Linked DNA regions of Lonchura striata. The protein of the gene in region 1 purifies or fractionates together with the protein of each later gene. This does not show direct contact. Links are inferred from orthologs where the notes say so. Each region holds a gene or a part of one and is shown on either strand. Other genes may lie near its edges. The genes, in order: RNF114 and PARP12.

What was found.
Region 2: the proteins of RNF114 (region 1) and PARP12 purify together in Homo sapiens (affinity purification with mass spectrometry; 3 studies listed by BioGRID and IntAct, counting the BioPlex papers as one, with this or other methods). This does not show direct contact. The link is inferred for Lonchura striata from reciprocal best matches to the Homo sapiens genes RNF114 and PARP12.

Annotation. Positions count from the first base shown.
Region 1 is NC_134619.1:874,325-882,956, forward strand, and holds the start of RNF114 (E3 ubiquitin-protein ligase RNF114), read left to right. Parts: upstream 1-4,756; 5' UTR 4,757-4,779; coding exon 4,780-4,898; intron 4,899-5,578; coding exon 5,579-5,729; intron 5,730-6,178; coding exon 6,179-6,285; intron 6,286-6,757; coding exon 6,758-6,872; intron 6,873-7,717; coding exon 7,718-7,825; intron 7,826-7,998; coding exon 7,999-8,064; 3' UTR 8,065-8,632. Other genes in the region: SPATA2 (spermatogenesis-associated protein 2), read right to left, coding at 1,316-1,633. UniProt on the Homo sapiens protein: E3 ubiquitin-protein ligase that promotes the ubiquitination of various substrates. In turn, participates in the regulation of many biological processes including cell cycle, apoptosis, osteoclastogenesis as well as innate or adaptive immunity.
Region 2 is NC_134607.1:18,970,923-18,980,364, reverse strand, and holds the start of PARP12 (protein mono-ADP-ribosyltransferase PARP12), read left to right. Parts: upstream 1-5,692; 5' UTR 5,693-5,700; coding exon 5,701-6,017; intron 6,018-6,984; coding exon 6,985-7,126; intron 7,127-8,680; coding exon 8,681-8,975; intron 8,976-9,442.

The DNA.
Region 1 (8,632 bases):
GGGGGAATAAAAGGAAAACTGGGTTACAAATTCAGCGGTGGACTGGATGTTCGGATAATTCAGTGACAGAGACCGTATAATTAAATACAACAATAACGACTCTGAACACATGCAACTGCCTTGGCAAGATGAGCTCCATTTCTGCATCCCTCCTGCTCAGCAGATGGAAATTCCACATGAGGGAAATTCAAAGTAGGAGAGCTTTCATTCAATTTAAAATCCTGATTTGCATAATGTCCTCCCTGGTGATTTAAATCATTCTGCTCTGCACTTATATTAACTTTAATGCATACCGGACATGAATTTCTGAATTTACAGAAAGCCTGCCATGAAAGGCAAAAAGGTCAGGATTTGGGAACCACCCCATGCAGGGACAAGCTGCAGCTAACAGGAAATCAGAATTACTGCAGAGTGTCAAACTCTAATTCAGCCTTAAATATGCTTGAGGTGCACTCTTCTTTGTGTAGTTACTACACAGTTTCAACTGTCAGTTTTATTTAACTTAATATTGATTGAAAAACTCCCACAAAAAGATCCCCAAAAGCAGAGACATGAGATTCTGCAAGCTGAAATGCCCTCAGCACCTGAGGGATGTGCTTAGCCTGTTCTGAGTGCAGGCAGGAGCAGTCTGCCCATCACAGGCAAAAGATAAAACACAAAACTCAACTGCAGAGAGCTCCCAATGGGACTGCAGCACCCAAGCCCAGCAGTGACATCCCACTTTTCCCTCTGGGAACCTGCCTTAGGTAGATGCATTTGAAAGCACCTTAAAATCAAAACATCAGGAACTGAGCACTGACAAGCAGATCAAAGATATTCTGGAAACAACTCTTTTGCAAAAGTTCCTTCACTGTTATCACACAACTTGTGGAAACCTCGGCAAAGCATCCACTTGAACACATGCCCTGGGTTTAATACTTGTGTCCAGTAACAGCTGTGGCAAGACAAGTCAAACTCTGAGTCAGCTTGAATAAATCCAGCTTGACCACCCACCACAGTGAAAGCCTCTCCAAGCAGAAATAAAACAGTGCAGCAGGGGAGGCTGAACAACAACCTTAAATAAGCTCTTCTACTTTATACACATTCTCATTGCAGAAAGTGCTTGTACTTCTGCTCTGGGGATACTCTCATCAGCACAAGCTTCACTTATTTTACACAGGAACTTTCCTATGGCTTCTGTTTACCAACTGTATATCTATATTTATATATAATGCTATAAATGGGAAAAAGAGAAGCCTTCAAAGGAACGAATGAAATGCCTTCACAGAAAGAAAAATAGATCATGTTCTCACTATGGCTACATAAAAAGTCTTACCTTAATGTTTTTGAATTCCTTTTTCCAGGGGTACAGAAAGAGATTAATTCCAAGTGTCTCAAGCATGTTGAATGCATTATGGAGACAATGTAAACTTGAGGATTTCACAGATCTCAGTGAGTTTTCAGCCATCTCGTAAAATTTTATCAACCGGAATCTATAAAAGGGATCAATTTTGGGAAGGCAAAGTAAGGCTGCTGCTGCCACTCGCAAGTACTCATCGTTAATAGGACGCTGCTTGCTGTCAGAGGCGTTCAGTTTGCACTCGTGGAACTGTACATACTTCCTAAATAAATCGTCTTTGTATTTTGTATCCATTGAAATCAGATTTTCCCTCACGCTGGGGGCAGCTACCTCCTCTCTTTCATGGTTATTTGGCAGTGGGTTGGGTAGCTGGCATTAGGAATCTCCAGCAATGGCGACTGTCCTGGAATAAAGACTGAAAAGAAACACAAGTCATCCCAGGTGCACAGAGCCCAGACATCTCCTGCCCCTCACAGAGCTGCAGCTCCCTCACAGCCTCCCCAGGACTCTGAAAAGGCACAGGATCCACGGGAATGCCACCATCCTGCTTCCCAACGTCATTCCCCGCTCGTTTTCCAGGTCCCTGCCCACTCTGCTCATTCTGTGAAAGGATCTGCTTTTCCCCCTCGCCTCCTGTGGCACAGGACTGTCCCTAGGCTGAGCAGGTTTACTGACTTTGCCCTTTGATTTCTAACATTTTCACTGACATTCCTGCTGCTGGTACCTCCAAGCTGGGGCAGCTCCGCAGCCACCTCCAGAAGACCCACTCCCGACTGCTGCAAACCACAGCCCAAATCCCAGCTGAAAGCTGGCAGCTGCAAACACCACTGGGATCTTTTGGCAACAAAGCTACACCTGCCACCTTCAGCTGGTTATGGGAACCGAGTAAAACCATTGCTGTGCTTCTGTCAGTATGCTTTTGTTTACAGGGATAGCTGTTTTTACGGATATACTGATCTGCATTTTCAGTGCACTGAGCTCACACAGCTGAAATAGCTGGTGACAAGAGAATTTCCCAAATGCTGCTTCACCAGAACCAGGGTAATTAACAGGCCAAAAAAGACTCCATCTGCAATGCCTCAGGAACCTGTGATCACAAAGCAGACCACAGGCTTTATTTACTACATGAAAAGACAAACCAGCACCAGCTCTCGACCCCAGGGGAGAGGAGTTGGGAGAAGTCAGTGCACTGTTTCAGATGTAGTCAGTCTCAAACAGCACTTCAGAAAAGACTTTCCACCCTGTATCAACTGCAGCTGCTGGAACACCGATCAACACTCGCGTTGCAGGAAAATACTTGTTAAGAGCAAGACCAACTGAAGGAAAGGAGCCAAAACACAAAACACCAACAACCCAGAGGCCAGGGAAACAAACAAACAACAAAATCAACAGCCTGGCAGTTAACATCCCTCCACGAAAGGCTGTGCTCAGTGCCAGCCCCGTGTGGGGAAAGTTAAGTAGCAGTTCTGCTTCTCCTCCAAGGCACACGCACTCCTGTCAAGAGACAGGCTGTGAATCACAGGAAATGTGGAGTGCTAAATTAACATCTGAGCATAAGGGCCAGGAGCAGTGCCTTCCCTCCCCACATTCCTCCGCAAGTTGTGCAGGATGAAGTCTGCGGACAAAGACAGCAGAGCCTGTTCCTTGGCAAGAAGAGCTGCACGCGAGAATTGCAGAGAGATCTTTGTCTAGCACGCCAGCACAACACCCCCAGGACACGGAGCGATCCTGTGCCGGCATTCAGCACGACAGCCCTGCCATCCCCACTGCCAACACCCACCAAGCAGAGCGCCTGGCGACACGTGAGACACGGCAGGGCCAGCGGGCCCCGGTGACGGGAGAGACCTTCAGGGAGGTCCTGCATCTCCCAGAGCCCGTGGCAGCCCTGACTGCACCCCGTGCCCGGCACCTGAGCCAGGGCACAGCTTGGCAGCCAAGCCAGGGCGCAGCACTGTGCCATGGCACAGCCTGGCAGATGTGTCAGGGCACAGTCCAACACCCGAGCCATGGCACAGCCTGGCAGCCAAGCCAGGGCACAGCACTGAGCCATGGCACAGCCTGGCAGATGTGTCAGGGCACAGTCCAACACCCGAGCCATGGCACAGCCTGGCAGCTGAACCAGGGCACAGCACTGTGCCATGGCACAGCCTGGCAGATGTGTCAGGGCACAGTCCAACACCCGAGCCATGGCACAGCCTGGCAGCTGAACCAGGGCACAGCACTGTGCCATGGCACAGCCTGGCAGATGTGTCAGGGCACAGTCCAACACCCGAGCCATGGCACAGCCTGGCAGCTGAACCAGGGCACAGCACTGAGCCATGGCACAGCCTGGCAGCCGTGCCAGGGCTGCTCCAGCCCAGAGCCGCAGGCGGCCCGGCCTCTCGCGGTGCCCGCAGCCCACCCAGCAGCAACATCCATGGTTACGGGCTGCGGAGAGCTCGCGATGCGAGCAGCACGGATAAATATAGGTTTCACAGCTCCCGGCTGCCAGCAGGCACGGAGGAACGCTCTGCTGCAGGTGCTCCGCCGAAGGCCAGCGGCTGCCGGGGCTGCGCGAGCAGCGGCTGCCGAGCGGAGCGCGGTGCAGCTGCTGAGGCAGGACCGTTCCTAACCGTGCCCGGGGCACACCTCCCGGGAGCCAGCGGCCCCGGCCCCGCTGCCCCGCCGGTGCCACAGACCCGAGGGGCAGCGGGGGCACACGGGGCGAAGCCCGCTTGTCCCGCGGTGCGCCCTCCGCCCAGCGCTCCCGGTGCCGCCGCGGGACACGGCGCCGCAACCGGCGGCAGCGGGGGCAGCCCGCGCCGCCGGGGCCGGGACACTTGTTGCAGACCGGGCCGAGGAGCTCCGGGCACCGGCCGGGCCTCCGCGGCGGTACCGGCACCGGGAGCTCCCGCCGCCCCCGGCCGCCCCGCCGCCCGCCCGCCCGCCGCGGCCAAGCCCCCGCTCTGCGGCCTGCCCCGTCCCTCACCGCTCCGCTCCGCCGCCGGGAGCCGCCGCCGCTCCGGCGGAAGCGCCCGGGATGTGCCCGGTCCGGAGGCGCTGCCCGGCAGAGCCGCGGAGGCCCGGCCGGTGCCGCGGACGGAGCGCGCCGCGCTCACGGCTCGGGCAGGGCCGCGGCGGCGGCGGCGGCCCGGAACTGAACGGCGGGGCGGGAGCGCTTCCGCCGCGTGACGTCACGGGGCGGGGCCCGGCCCGCGGGCTGCGGGGGGACGAGCGGCGGCGGAGCGGCGGCGGGGCCGTGACACCACCGGCCGGCGGGGCCACGGCGTGCCGGAGCGGGGCTGCACCGGCCGGGCTGGGCCCCGCCCAGCGGCGGCTCCCGGGCCCGGCGGCGGCTCCCGGGCCCGGCGGCCCCGCCCGGCACGGCGGCCCCGCCCGCCCGGCGCGCCCCGCCCGCCGCCGGGCCCGGCCGCGCGTGCGCAGCGCCGCCCCCGCGGAAGATGGCGGCGGGCGGGCCGTCGCGGGCCCCCGAGCGGCGGCCGGACCCGCTGTCCCGCCTCACCTGCCCCGTGTGCCTCGAGGTGTTCGACTGCCCGGTGCGCGTCCCCTGCGGACACGTGTGAGCGCCGCCGGGGAGCGGGACCGGGACCGGGGCATGCGGGACCGGGAGCGGGGGATGCGGGAGGAGCCGCGGGGGATGCGGGAGCGGGGGATGCGGAGGAGCCGCCGCTCGGGCCCCGCCGTGCTGAGGGCGGCTCCGTGCCCCGGCACCGGGGCCAGGGGCGGCCTTGAAGGGAGAAAGCGAAAGAAAAGCGGGGGAAAGGAAGCCTGCGTTCTTCTGTTCCGCTTCCCTGACGGGACGAGGGCAGCGGCTCTCACCGCCGCAGGGCAGGCTGAGGCGGGGTGCGGGGGTGAAATCCCTCCCTGGCACAGCCGGGGCTGCCCTGGATCCCTGGCAGTGCCCCAGGCCAGGCTGGACGCGGTTTGGAGCAGCTGGGGCAGTGGGAGGTGTCCCTGACATGGCAGGGCTGGCACTGGGCGGACTTTAAGGTCCCTTCCAACCCAAACCGTTCCATGATTCTGTCCAGAAGCTGAGGGCACAGACCACTGTCCAACAGTAAACACTTCTGGGTGTGACAGCCTGGGATCCCTCATGCCCAGGAGCCAGCAGCTCCTTCTTACCCATCTTTATCAGTCTCAAGCCCCTGCTACGCCTTTGGGCAGAGCTGTGCAAGGGCAGCAGGCACTGCGGGTGCCCAGAGGGCTGTCTCACCACCTCCTCCTTTTCTCCCGCCTCAGCTTCTGCACACCGTGCCTGCAGGAATGTCTGAAGCCCAAAAAGCCAGTCTGTGGGGTGTGCCGCAGCACCCTGTCGCCTGGGAGCAGAGCTCTGGACTTGGAAAAGCAAATTGAAACTACAGAAACCACTTGCAACGGCTGCAATAAAAAAGTATGAAAGCGTTTGGAAATTCAGTACATGAGATGTGTCCCCCTAGGGGAAGATGAACTGCTTCCTCCTCAGCTTTCTGCAAAATCAGGTCAAAGTGTTTGTTCTGATATGTGCTAAAGCTGTTTGATATAGGCAGCACACAGATGTTGACATTCTTTCCACAGTTTTTTGTTGTTACCTCTTCAGGAAATGAATTTCTAATGAAAGATTCTGATTATAAAGTTACAGTGGGATGTTGCTGCTGTGAGCAGGGGTGCATGGTGACATACCACAGAGAGCAGAGTTACACCTTAACTAATCTGTAATCTCAAACGTTTTCTGCTTGGCCAGCTGAGGTATTTGGAGTTCCTGCTTTACCTCTTGTGCTGAAAGCTGCTGGCTTTACACGTTTGCTGCTTTGTTCAGGAGGTGCTGTGAGCTCACCTGCTGTGTTGTTGTTGCCTGCACAGATGTACCTGTCCAAGATGCGCAGCCACGCAGCCTCCTGCTCCAAGTACCAGAATTACATCATGGAAGGTGTGAAAGCTGTGACGAAAGAGCCCCTCCACAGCACCAGGTAATGCCTCTGCTCTGCAATCCTGCCCTTCTCTGGCACAACAAAGAGTTTGGAAGTAAAAGCAGACTTCACCTCTTTGCTCAGTTTGGGTGCTGATTTTTATGGAGTTAAAAACTGAGCCTTGATCCTGCAGCTGGCTGTGCCCAGGTAAATTCTGCTGCTTCTGCTTGGACACCTCTAAGAACAGGGCATTCTGTAGGTGCAGCTGTTTTCTAAAATACCTTGGTCTCCTGATTGTACTCGCCCACAGAGGAGGGAAGTGGGAATTGGTGACTAGTGAGTGGTGCCCTGGCATTGGAGAAAACTGATAAATGGCACTTAGAACATTTGCAGAAAAACTGTAATTCAGTCTAAACACCGAGTTCCCTAAAATACTGTTAGGAGTTTACAAACCGATTGCTAAATTAATTGCATACATAAATTACTGCCTTGAATAATCTGTATTTGTAAATAACCTTTTCTCCCCAACCAGGAGCTTCCCGAATCGCTTCACCTTCCCCTGCCCGTACTGCAGTGAGAAGAACTTTGATCAAGAAGGGCTGGTTGAGCACTGCAAAGCTTTGCACAGCATGGATGCAAAACAAGTGGTAATAAAAAGTCTTGGTGCAAGAATTGCAATTAAGTCTGGTCTTAAAGCCCTTTGAAACAGTAAGTTAGAGACTTTTGAATTAAGTAGGTGTAATTTCTGCTGTTCAGTCAGTGTGGCTGTGCTGGTCATGCCTCTAAGTCTGGTGTGGTTCTGCTCTCACTTTTCAGTGGCTTTCTGCACTGCAGCTGGGCCACATCCTCTTTTCATCCTTGAAAAATGGCACACATTCAAAGTGAATTAGGCACAGCAAAGCAGTAAAATATAATTTAAAAAAATACTAGACATTTAATTTTCTCCTTGTTTTCCCCCTTGTTTTCAGCAAGAAGATACTATTAACTGCTAGGAGAAATGCTTGTGAAAAATAGCGTATCATTCTATCTGTGATACTTCCTTTTATGTAAGAGGAATTGCAAAACGTGGAATTGAATTGGAAACTTTCATTTTTCTGGGAAGTTTTTTGGAATTCGAGATAATTCAGGAAAATAAAGTTCCTTTTTTCTCTTGGCAAGAAGTGAACTTTGTAGAGAAGACCAAGGAAACTTTCCTGCATGGTGAAATAAAGGATGAAATCTTCTAAAGCAGGAGGCTTTAATGAGTTCTGATTTTCAGAACATGGGAGAAGAGTAAGCCATGCCATTTCAGGAATCTAAGACATGAATTAGAATTACTCAGGGTTATCTGAGGCTTTTTCAGTAAATGTCCCAGCAAGTCAGTGGCCATCACTTTGCATGGAGAGCAGTGACAGCACAAACCTTGAGCTCCACTCCCCCAGGGCTGTCCCTCCCTTCTGCTGTCAGCGTTTAAGCACTGAAGCACTGGACCTAACTGGCTTTTTCTTTGAAGGTTTGCCCAATTTGTGCCTCAATGCCGTGGGGGGACCCCAATTACAGGAGTGCTAACTTCATGGAGCACCTGCAGAGGCGGCACCGCTTTTCCTACGACACCTTTGTGGTAGGTGTTGGCTCCCCCTGGCAGCGCAGCCGGGGCTCCTGGAGCTCCCTGTGCCACCCCAGCACATCCCTGTGCCATCCCTGGCGTGCCCAGGGCTCAGGGGCCTGCAGCTCCTGCTGCTGCCACGGCACTGCAGCATGGCTCTGCAGCGAAAGCCTTTCTGCCTCTTGCAGGACTACGATGCTGATGAGGATGATATGATGGCACAGGTTTTGATGCGCTCTCTGCGGGATAAGTGATCCAGCCAGAAGATTTCCTGCAAACCCAAGCTTCCACGAGGGGGAAATGCCCAGCATCCTTGCACTTCTCCCTGCACATCCCAAGATTAACTCAGGCATCCAGAAGTATAGAAGACTTTAATCCTATCTCAGTTTTAAATCCTGGTTTGATATTTCTGTGCCATTCAGTCCTTTGGTATCATGGTCTCTGACATTTAGCCCTGTCAGCCCCATTTTTCTACTTGCTTAGACTCAGTTTCATGTAGATCAACACGTGGGAACCAAGGCTTTTACCTTTACCTATGCCTATAGGTTTCTTTGGAAGTTGTGTTTATTTCACTGTCTAGAATCAAAAACATTCCAAATGGAATGGCCTGAACTAGTTAATAAATATCTTCCCAATCTCATTTACCTATCTCAAGTGATTGTATGTGAGGTGTACTGGTAGCTCTGTCCCCTTTAGTTAGACTTCAGGTGCTAACTGTAACTGTCAGACCAGCTTCATTTAAGTGACCTCTGATACATGTGATTCCATAATGTTTCCCAGTGTTTCAATCCTTACAGGCAGCCTCTCAACTGTATGGAAAAC
Region 2 (9,442 bases), on another chromosome or scaffold:
CGTGCCACCACAAATAGCTGCTGCTGGTCTCCAAATCAATACATGGTGACATCCTGGGTGATGTGTCAGTGCACGAACATTTATGAATTTAGCTGATGAACACAGAGAAAAGAAAATTAACTCATAGAAGAAAAAGCCACAAGACAACCTTGGGAGTTTTCACTGCAACAAGGAAGTTTCAACGAAAAGTAGGGATTAGCAGCTGGAAAATAAAGCTGGAAGTTTCTGATTTCTTGCAAAAGCAGTTTTAAGTTGGGTTTTTTTTTTGTTTTTTTTTTTTCCCAATCAGTTTAACCTTATAAAAATGACAACCATCTAGCCATAATATAGCAAGGGTTTTTTGAGCTACTACGTGCAGACATAGCATTTTCATTCATAAGTATTGCCTGATATCATGAACATATCTCTTCATAGAGCTGATAGAGGTTAATCCTTACCAATGGAATTTCATATTTTGTCCAGCAGAGGATGAAACACCACATGATGAGGGCAACTTTTGTATTGTTGCTAATTGCAGTGCAGAATGAAATGTGACAGGATTCAGTAACTGTCCTGGTCCCTGACAAGTTACTTTTTATTTTTTACTCCCAAGAAACTTTGAAAAAACTTTGAAAAACAGTTAAGTTAGGTCTGAAATGTTAGGTCTGCATGCATGATAAGCAAATCATACAAAGATAAGCGGTTTGGTGGCAACTCCTACGTTAATGAAAATAGAGTTGATGTTCACTATCTGTCAACAGGGAGGTCACTCCCACCTGAAAGTGGAATGCTTAAAGGAAGAATTAACAGACACATTGAGATTCAGTTTGTTAAAACTGTAGATAATACAGACAGTGGATAATACAGTAGCAAATGCAGGAAAAACTGCTGCAAGATCAGCAATAGGCTTCTGACTTCGGCCAATTTACTGCTCATTTGAGGATCACTGTAGATTTAAAGAGGCTTCTTAAGATGTTTCTGAAAGGTTGAGAAAGCCAGTGTACAAGATTATGGGTATATGTGAACACATTATCTTTTTGAGAGTATGAAAAAGAACAAAAGCATAAGGCTTACACAATAAACAGACATTTACAGTGGCACAAGCAATAAAATGTTCAACAGAATAAGACTAGAAGTGTGCCAGTGACAAATAACAGCATCATTAACTGTAGAGTGAATTTTCAGCCCCAATTTTTTTTTATTTTCACAAGCAAGACCTCTTGAAACTTATCTAATTAACCAAACTGTATGCAACACAATTTTTTGCATATTATATTAGGCTGGTTTATTATTATAAAACAGACAATTCGTCCTAGATGCTGCCCAGACTATGTGCTTGCCTGTGAAAATATATGTTTACATTTGTATCCTGAGGCAAGAGCAAAAAATGAGGATTTATCCTGCTCTTTGCAGAGTCTGCAAGATCCCTGGGACAGCCAACAGCCCCACAGTCTGGTGCTTTTCACATACTGCAACAGAACTGAGTTTCCTGTTACTTGCTTTCAAGTTGTGGGTGCATGTGTTACCTGTGGGATGGCTGATTTTTAGGTTAACATGACACTAGGAGACTCTTGGGATGGTAGCTGTAAGGTCCATATGCTGTCAATTAGTACAGATTTCAGAAACACTAGCTGTAGGTGAAGAAATTAGAGAAGTACACAGAAATAATAGGTTGATGGAACTGATTACAAGTATACAAGACCAAAGACTGCATGGCCTTCGTATACAAGACCAAAGACTGCATGGCCTTCAAATAAAACAATCAAAACAAATCTGAGCAAAGACCAAATTAAATGTGGAATCCCAACATATCAATTATTTGGAATAAAATTTTACCCATTTTGATGAAGGTGGATGGGACACCTGTATTTAACCCAGAAAAGGAACATATATAAATTATATGTGTTTGATGAACAGCAAATACAAGCCATAATAAACCAGCCAGTTGCAGACAAAAGAATGGAAAGTTTAGCTGTGTTTAACTATGTTGCCAGACCATCAGTGGGACAACAACTAACCCTCAATTGTGTGTTTAAATGTAGGTTGACAGGCAACCAAAAACAGCTGCAAGCAAACATATCACACTTCTGTCTTCTTCTGCCCATTTTCTTTACATCTCCCACAACAGACAATACAAAGCCAGGAGTTTCACCATGCTAGCTGGAAGGAAGACTGAAATACGTGGATGGGGTGGGAAGTGGAGGCATCATGCACCTAGCAACAATGGATGTTTTAAAGATGCATATGAAAATTCACAGGAAAATCATTAAATTACTACATTTTGAATATTGATGCAAACAAGATTAAGAAATGATGCCACAGTTCAAATTAACACAACTATCCATAAATTGTTCCTAAAAATAAAGATGTCAGTCTAATGACTGACATCTGCTAATTTCTAAAGTAAAGTTTTCATAGCGCAATACATCAGATTTTAACAAAGGTGGCTCACTAAAATTGCAGTACCTAAAGTCCCACAGTTATGAAAACCCCATGTGGTCTGAGTTCAGCAGCTGTTTAGAAGCTTTAGGAACTGCTTAGAGGGAGTTTATTTCAGGACCAATGTGCACAGCAGTCATTACTGCAGGTAGAGCAGCTCATATGCAATTATGCTACAATGACATTTAAGAAAACAGCCTTACCTTTAATTACAGTATTTGAGAGATGAAGAGGAGCCACTTTCCTTAGGTGCCCTTCATGGCTAATGGCAGTTAATTTTATAAATTAAAATTGACTTTTCTGTTAGCTGATAATTCTTCTTCTGAAGAAGAAAGTACAATTTTGCTTATATATAATTCATAGGTGGGGAAGTTGTATCAAATCAAAGGGGTACTTTTATTCTTCCTGAGGAACATGCCACAAAACAAGCTACAAGAAACTTGTGTGAGAAAGAATAATTTATGATTTATTTTGGGTATGAATTCAGACTTGGGAAGGTGCTGTAATTCAAAGGCATCTCTGCAAACCCTCTCTCTGCATCAATCATTGCTTGTTTTCATACTTTTACTTTTGTTCTCCATGAGAAAGAGACAGAGTTATAGCTCTACTCCACAGCCTCAAAAAAACTCACTCAGGAGTTCCTGCAGAGCAGGAACAGCCATGTGAACTTCCCTGTGATACACATGCCAACATTTTGGAATGAATTGCAATGGTGTAAAGCTACCTGAAATCACCCCTCCAACCCTGATCTTACACTGCTCTTCTTTCTTGGTACTCCTCTCTACATAATGTTGACATTGGCATAGTCATTCATACCAATTTTATCATTAAAAAATCACCATATTTCTGCCAAATGAATGGGGTTTTTTAGATGCATGAGGAAAGAAACTCTGAAAGGAAGATACAATTGAAACAGCTACCTGGACTGTACAGTGATGTTGGGACAGATCTTTAAGATGTAAAAAGTTGGGAACTGGCTTGATAGGATGGATTTTGGGTCAGAAAAAGTAAATAGATGCTAGGGAGAATTAGAGTTATTGAGTACAATGCTGCTTCAATGTTTTTTATGCTAAAGTGTTCCCTGAGTTTTGGTTCAGTCAAGATATCTCCCACTGATGGGGCACTTATCTAATGCATCTATCCAGTAATTTAAGACCATTAGACAAAACAGCAAAATAAGGAGGCTTCCACCCATATTCTCTTTCAGTGATGAAACAGCTGGATTTGGGTTTGGACCAGATGACCTCCTATGGCCTCTTTCCACCTCAACTGTTCTGTGATACTGTCAATCACTATCAGTGGTGTGTGATCTCTCTCTTTAAAGTGCCTTACCACCAGGTGACCGTCAGTGACAAATGTGACCATCTGCAGGTCTGCCCCTCAAGGAAAGACTGTCTTAAGGAAGAAAGGATGACAAAGACACTCCAATCTACGGAATTACTTCCACAGAACATGTGACTCTCCAGCCTCTCATGTTGTCTCCTAAACATTTGTTGATGGCCTGTCACAGGCAAGCTACAGATAGATCTCTGTGAAAGAGTACCTGTACTCTGGCTGAGTAGAGCTGGTTTTCCATTCAGTGCACTTTTCTAGATTCTACTTTTTGTCATTTCCTTCCTGATCTCACAGGGCAAGCAGGAAGTAAGATGAGGCAAGGGGAAAGGCACAACTAGACTGGCAAAAGAAGAAAGGAGACAGGACTCTTGTTCGATGAGAACCACCATCAGTGAGAGTCCCCATGGCTTCCACTGCTAGTCTGACTGAAATGATGGCACTTTAGCATCATTGTTCTGCCACCATTTAAAGCATGCTTCTGAGTGACTGTTGTTTTAAATTTGGTCCCTATATGTCCAATTTAATAAACCACAAGATTTAAAATTTAGCAGCAATTTTAATTGAGGCATAAAATAATAATGCAATCAAATATAATTCAGTAGTTACAAAAAGAAATTTGGCAGTGGTGTGGATAAAGCATAAGCAAAACTGACCAGGGTACAGGGAGGACTTTCTACCCTGCCTCCCATACGAAGGATCCAAACACAACGTATATACTGTGTGCTAATACATATTCATCAATAGTTCCATAAATCTCCTCCCATTTTTCATTCTTGAAATCTACATCACTCTACTGCACAGCGCGTGCTCCCATTGTTGCTATGGGGTCTTTTGGTCTCTTCAGGGCTCTTCTAGGAGGAAGGCTGAAGGTCTTCCTCACATGTCCTCTGGGATAACCTGGCAGGTGGCACATGCACATTAATCTTGGTGTTATACAAGTAAGCACTATGTTCCAATTAAACCTCATTTATTTCATAGATAAGACCACTATTTTAGACTCCCTGTCTGGAATGGTCCCAGCTTTATTCATATTCAAGGTCAATCTTGCTCTGGGAGTTGTCTTTTAACTTCAGTTTATGCCAGTTTTGGTTTGGGAGTCAGTTCCTGACTTCCTCCATTTCCAATGCCAAATCCAACTCCTGCACCCTATTTCCCACATGTATTCCCATCTGCTTCATAACACTAATCACATATACTTTTCCAATTATTTTCCCAAATTTATTGATATAATTACGATTTTGTTAGCACAGATCACAACCATTTATAACACTGTGATGCAGAACCAGGAGTGTCAAAACGACCCAGGAAAAGGCACTTAATTAAAAGAAGGGCACCCTTCTAAGGAGTCTGTGACTTCCCAGAGGATGAGGACATTGCTTGGCCGCACTGGTGCCATGGCTGCTGTGCAGGCAGAAGCAGTGGTGTACCACCGTGTAGCAGGTGCCACTACGAGCACTGCAAGCAGGGCAGGGCAGTGTGCCTACACGTGTGACCATGACCGAGCTTTTAATTTAGATGTTGAAAGAAGCGTGAGAGCAGCCGTCACGATGTATCGTCAGGAAAGTGGCACAGGTCAGAAACCTTAACTGAGATGTTTTTGACGGCAGAATTCACACACCAGCCTTCTCCCTGTAACTTAAGGTTAAATCACCTGGCTGATGCTCCATTCATCCCTGGGTCCGCTTTTTCCTATAGGGAATGTGTGACCACCCAGCTGCCATCCCTTTTTGGTGACATGTGATTGAACACGGTCAATACATCCTGAAAGCCAGGCACAGGAGGGAGGAGCAGGGCCGGGTGCCGCTGTCCGTGCGCCGCATCACCCACAGCAAGGCGCTCCCCGGCGGGGGCAGAGCGAACGCCCCGGGCCGAGGCGGTCCCGCTCCTCTCGGGCTCTTTCACTTTCGTTTCCGTTTCCGTCGCTTTCCCGGGAGGCGCTTCCCGGCCATGGCGCTGGCGGTGCAGGCGCTGCGGGTGCTGTGCGCTAGCGGCGGCTGCCTGGAGCAGGGCGAGCTGCGGCGGCGGCTGCCGGCGCGGCCCTCGGCCGAGCAGCTGGCGGCCGTGCTGCGGGACGCGCAGCGCTTCACGCTGGTGCGCCGGCCCGGCCGGGCGGCGGCCGCGGCCGAGGCCGAGGTGGCCGTGGTGGTGGCCACCAGCCCCGTGCGGCTGTGCCCGGAGCACGTCGCGGGCTGCCCGGGGCAGTGCGGGCAGCTGCACATCTGCAAGTACCACCTGAAGGGCTTCTGCCGCAACCAGCTGGCCAGGTGAGGGGCGGGCGCGGCCGCCATGGCGGGGGCTCGGCCTTGGGCAGGGCGTGGAGCGATCAGGAGAGGCCTTTCCGCGTGGAAATGCTCGCTGGCCGTGAGCACCCCAATTTATTTGTGCGTGTGTTGTTGCAAAGGAGGCAGACACAGGCGGTTGTTTCATAGCTTTGGGTCGCAGCACTTCCTCCCTGGCTCGTCACCCTGGCGCTTCCTTGTCCGTGGGCAGGGCTGTGCCAGGGGAAAGCTGAGTGTCCCCCCGCACATCCCTGAGCTGCGGGACCCTGGGTGATGTGCTAAAGCTGAGTGTCCCCGCACATCCCTGTGCTGCGGGACCCTGGGCAGTGTGCTAAAGCTGAGTGTCCCTGCACATCCCTGAGCTGCGGGACCCTGGGTGATGTGCTAAAGCTGAGTGTCCCCGCACATCCCTGAGCTGCGGGATCCTGGGTGATGTGCTAAAGCTGAGTGTCCCCGCACATCCCTGTGCTGCGGGACCCTGGGTGATGTGCTAAAGCTGAGTGTCCCCGCACATCCCTGAGCTGCGGGACCCTGGGCAGTGTGCTAAAGCTGAGTGTCCCTGCACATCCCTGAGCTGCGGGACCCTGGGCAGTGTGCTAAAGCTGAGTGTCCCCCCGCACATCCCTGTGCTGCGGGACCCTGGGTGATGCACTCAGGGGCTGAGAGGGGATGATGCTCTGGAGCTTTGGTGGTTTTGTGGTTGTGAGCTGCAGGTCCAAAATGCCGATATTGTCAGAGTGCACTAAGGCTATAATGACTGTGAATCAGAAGCAGCGTGGCAATTATCCTCAGAATAATTATGTAATCTGCTTTGCAAATTACATAATGGCTTTATAGAAGAGCAATGTGGGTTTTTCTGAAACGAGCTAATTTGGTGTGCTTTTCCAGCTTTCAGTGTAATGCCCATGGGGTGTCAAAATATGCCAGTCATTTTGCTGTTCGGTTTCTTGAGTTCTAGGAAGGGATGCAGGTTTGTTCACAGCTTCCACTCAGACCACAATCTCCGTGTTCTAAAGCAATATGGACTTGAGAATTTAAACCATGATGAACTTTGCCAGCTTCTGCTTCAAAATGACCCTTCCCTCTTACCAGAGGTGAGTATTACTGTAACAGCTTCTTAGCCTTGTGTTTCAGTGGGCATGACAATATGGAAGAGGCTTTACAGAGATGGAGATATTGAGTGTCAATTTAGTTAGCTTAATGCAAATCTAAAAATAAATCTGCATCCTCTGTTCTCACCTGTGGTGGATTGACCCTAGCTGGCAGCTAAGCTCTTGAACAGACCCTCACCCACTCCTCACTCCCCCACCACAAGCAGAGGAGATGAGCATTAACTAGAAGAAAAAAAGTGGCAAAACCTGTGAATGGAGATAAAGACATTGTAGCAAGGGGAGGAAAGCAGGGAGAAGTGTTGCAAAAGAGAACTTCTGCTTCACCACCTCAGAGCCCAACAAGTCTCTGAGCAAGTGCTACCTTGTAAGAAGGACCCATCTCCCCCTTCTTTCACCTTCCCTCTGTCCCTTTCCTCACTATTTTTTTTTTTTTTTTTGAGGATGACATTATGTGGCATGGAATATCCCTCTGGCCAATTTGGACTATTTCCTAGTTTTGGCTGGAATACAGTTAATTTTCTTTCTAGTAGCTGGTACAATGCTGTGTTTTGAATTCAGGATGAGAACAATGTTGATAACACTCATGTTTTTGGTTTTGCTGAGCAGTGCTTGCTCTAAGTCAAGGACTTTTCAGCTTTTCATACTGCCCTGCTAGCCAGTAGACTGGGAGTGCACAAGAAGCTGGAAGGGAATGCAGCCAAGAGAGCTGACCCAAACTGGACAGAAGGATATTCTATACCATATGAAATAATTCTGAACAGTGAAACTGAGGGGAGGTGGCCCAGGGATGGTGGTACATTGAGGGGTCCGGCTGGGCTTTGGTCAGTGAGTGGTGAGCAGTTTCATTGTGCATCACTTGTTTTGTCTATTGTTTTATCATTATTATCTCCTCTTCCTTTTATGCCATATAAACTGTTTACCTCAACCCTGGAGGGCGGGAGTGAGAGGCTGTGTGGTGTTTATTTGTTCTGGTTTCAGTTAAGGTAGAGTTAATTTTCTTACTGGTATCATGAACAGGGCTGTATTTTGGATTTAACCCACTGAGTGCTTACTTTCAGTCAAGGCCTTTTCAGCTTCCCATGCTCTGCTAGTGAGGAGGTGCACGAGGAGCCAGGAGGGAGCATGGCCAGGACAACTGACCCAAACAGACCAAACCAATACTGTTTTGGTCACAAACCCAAAACATAGTGTGGTATGGTCTGCTATGAAGAAAGTTAACTCCATCCCAGCCATATCCAGTATGTCTTACCATCAAGTTGGGATGAAAAAGATTCCAAAACTATTCCAAAACTAGAAAATCGAAGAAGTGTGACTTAGCACTAAGTTCCATCTTGAGAATGTCTGTAAGAATGTTTCTAAACATTAGCAGGGCAAAGGAAAAGCTATCAAGCAGTCATTTGGAAAACAAGAAGAAAGAAGAAATGTTTCTGTCAAAAGCAAATGTATGCACATTGTAGCCAAATAATGGATTCAAATAGTCTAAATAAGCACATTGTACTTTGATGTTTAAATTCTTTTTTTCTTCTCCTTCCCAAGGTCTGCTTGCATTATAACAAAGGTGATGGACTTCATGGATCTTGTTCCTTTAAAACATCTTGCACCAAACTTCATGTTTGCCAGTACTTTTTGCGGGGTCAGTGCAGATTTGGCAGCAGCTGCAAACGGTCCCATGACTTATTAAATCCAGAATGTTTTGAGAAACTGGAGAGACAGGGGATGAGCTCAGACATTATTAAGAAACTACCTTCCACTTATAGAAACATGTATGACATAAAAAATGGCAACAGAAACATGTATGACATAGAAGATGTCAAATCTTCACCATGCAAAGGTAAATAACATGATCTTTTGAATTCATCAGAAGAGTCATGGTAGTGAATTTAATATTTTTGCTGGTGTCATTAAGAAAACTGAATTTACATTTTGGTTTGTACCTATCTCACTGACAAAGGTCTTTGTCTTGACAAATGAAATCAAGAGTGGTTCCTGAGAAATAGAGTGCTGATGTTAATGAAATTCTTAAACTTGGGATTAAAAAAGAGTAACAGGAACTGGAAATAGGGAGCGCTATAATTTTGGAGTTTTTTAGGTAAAATACATAAAGGTAGAGACCTGTTTAAGAATAGGAGTGGTGGTTGTCTGATTATGAGCTATTTAATTCTTTGTCTTTAATGTAGTGATTGTCTAGCACAAGAATTCACAAACAGCACTATCCTAGTTATTTCTCAGAAGTGTAATATTTTGTTTGCACTTTTCTTTTGAAGTTTTTTAGAATTGTAAGTTAAGTATAATTTAGCA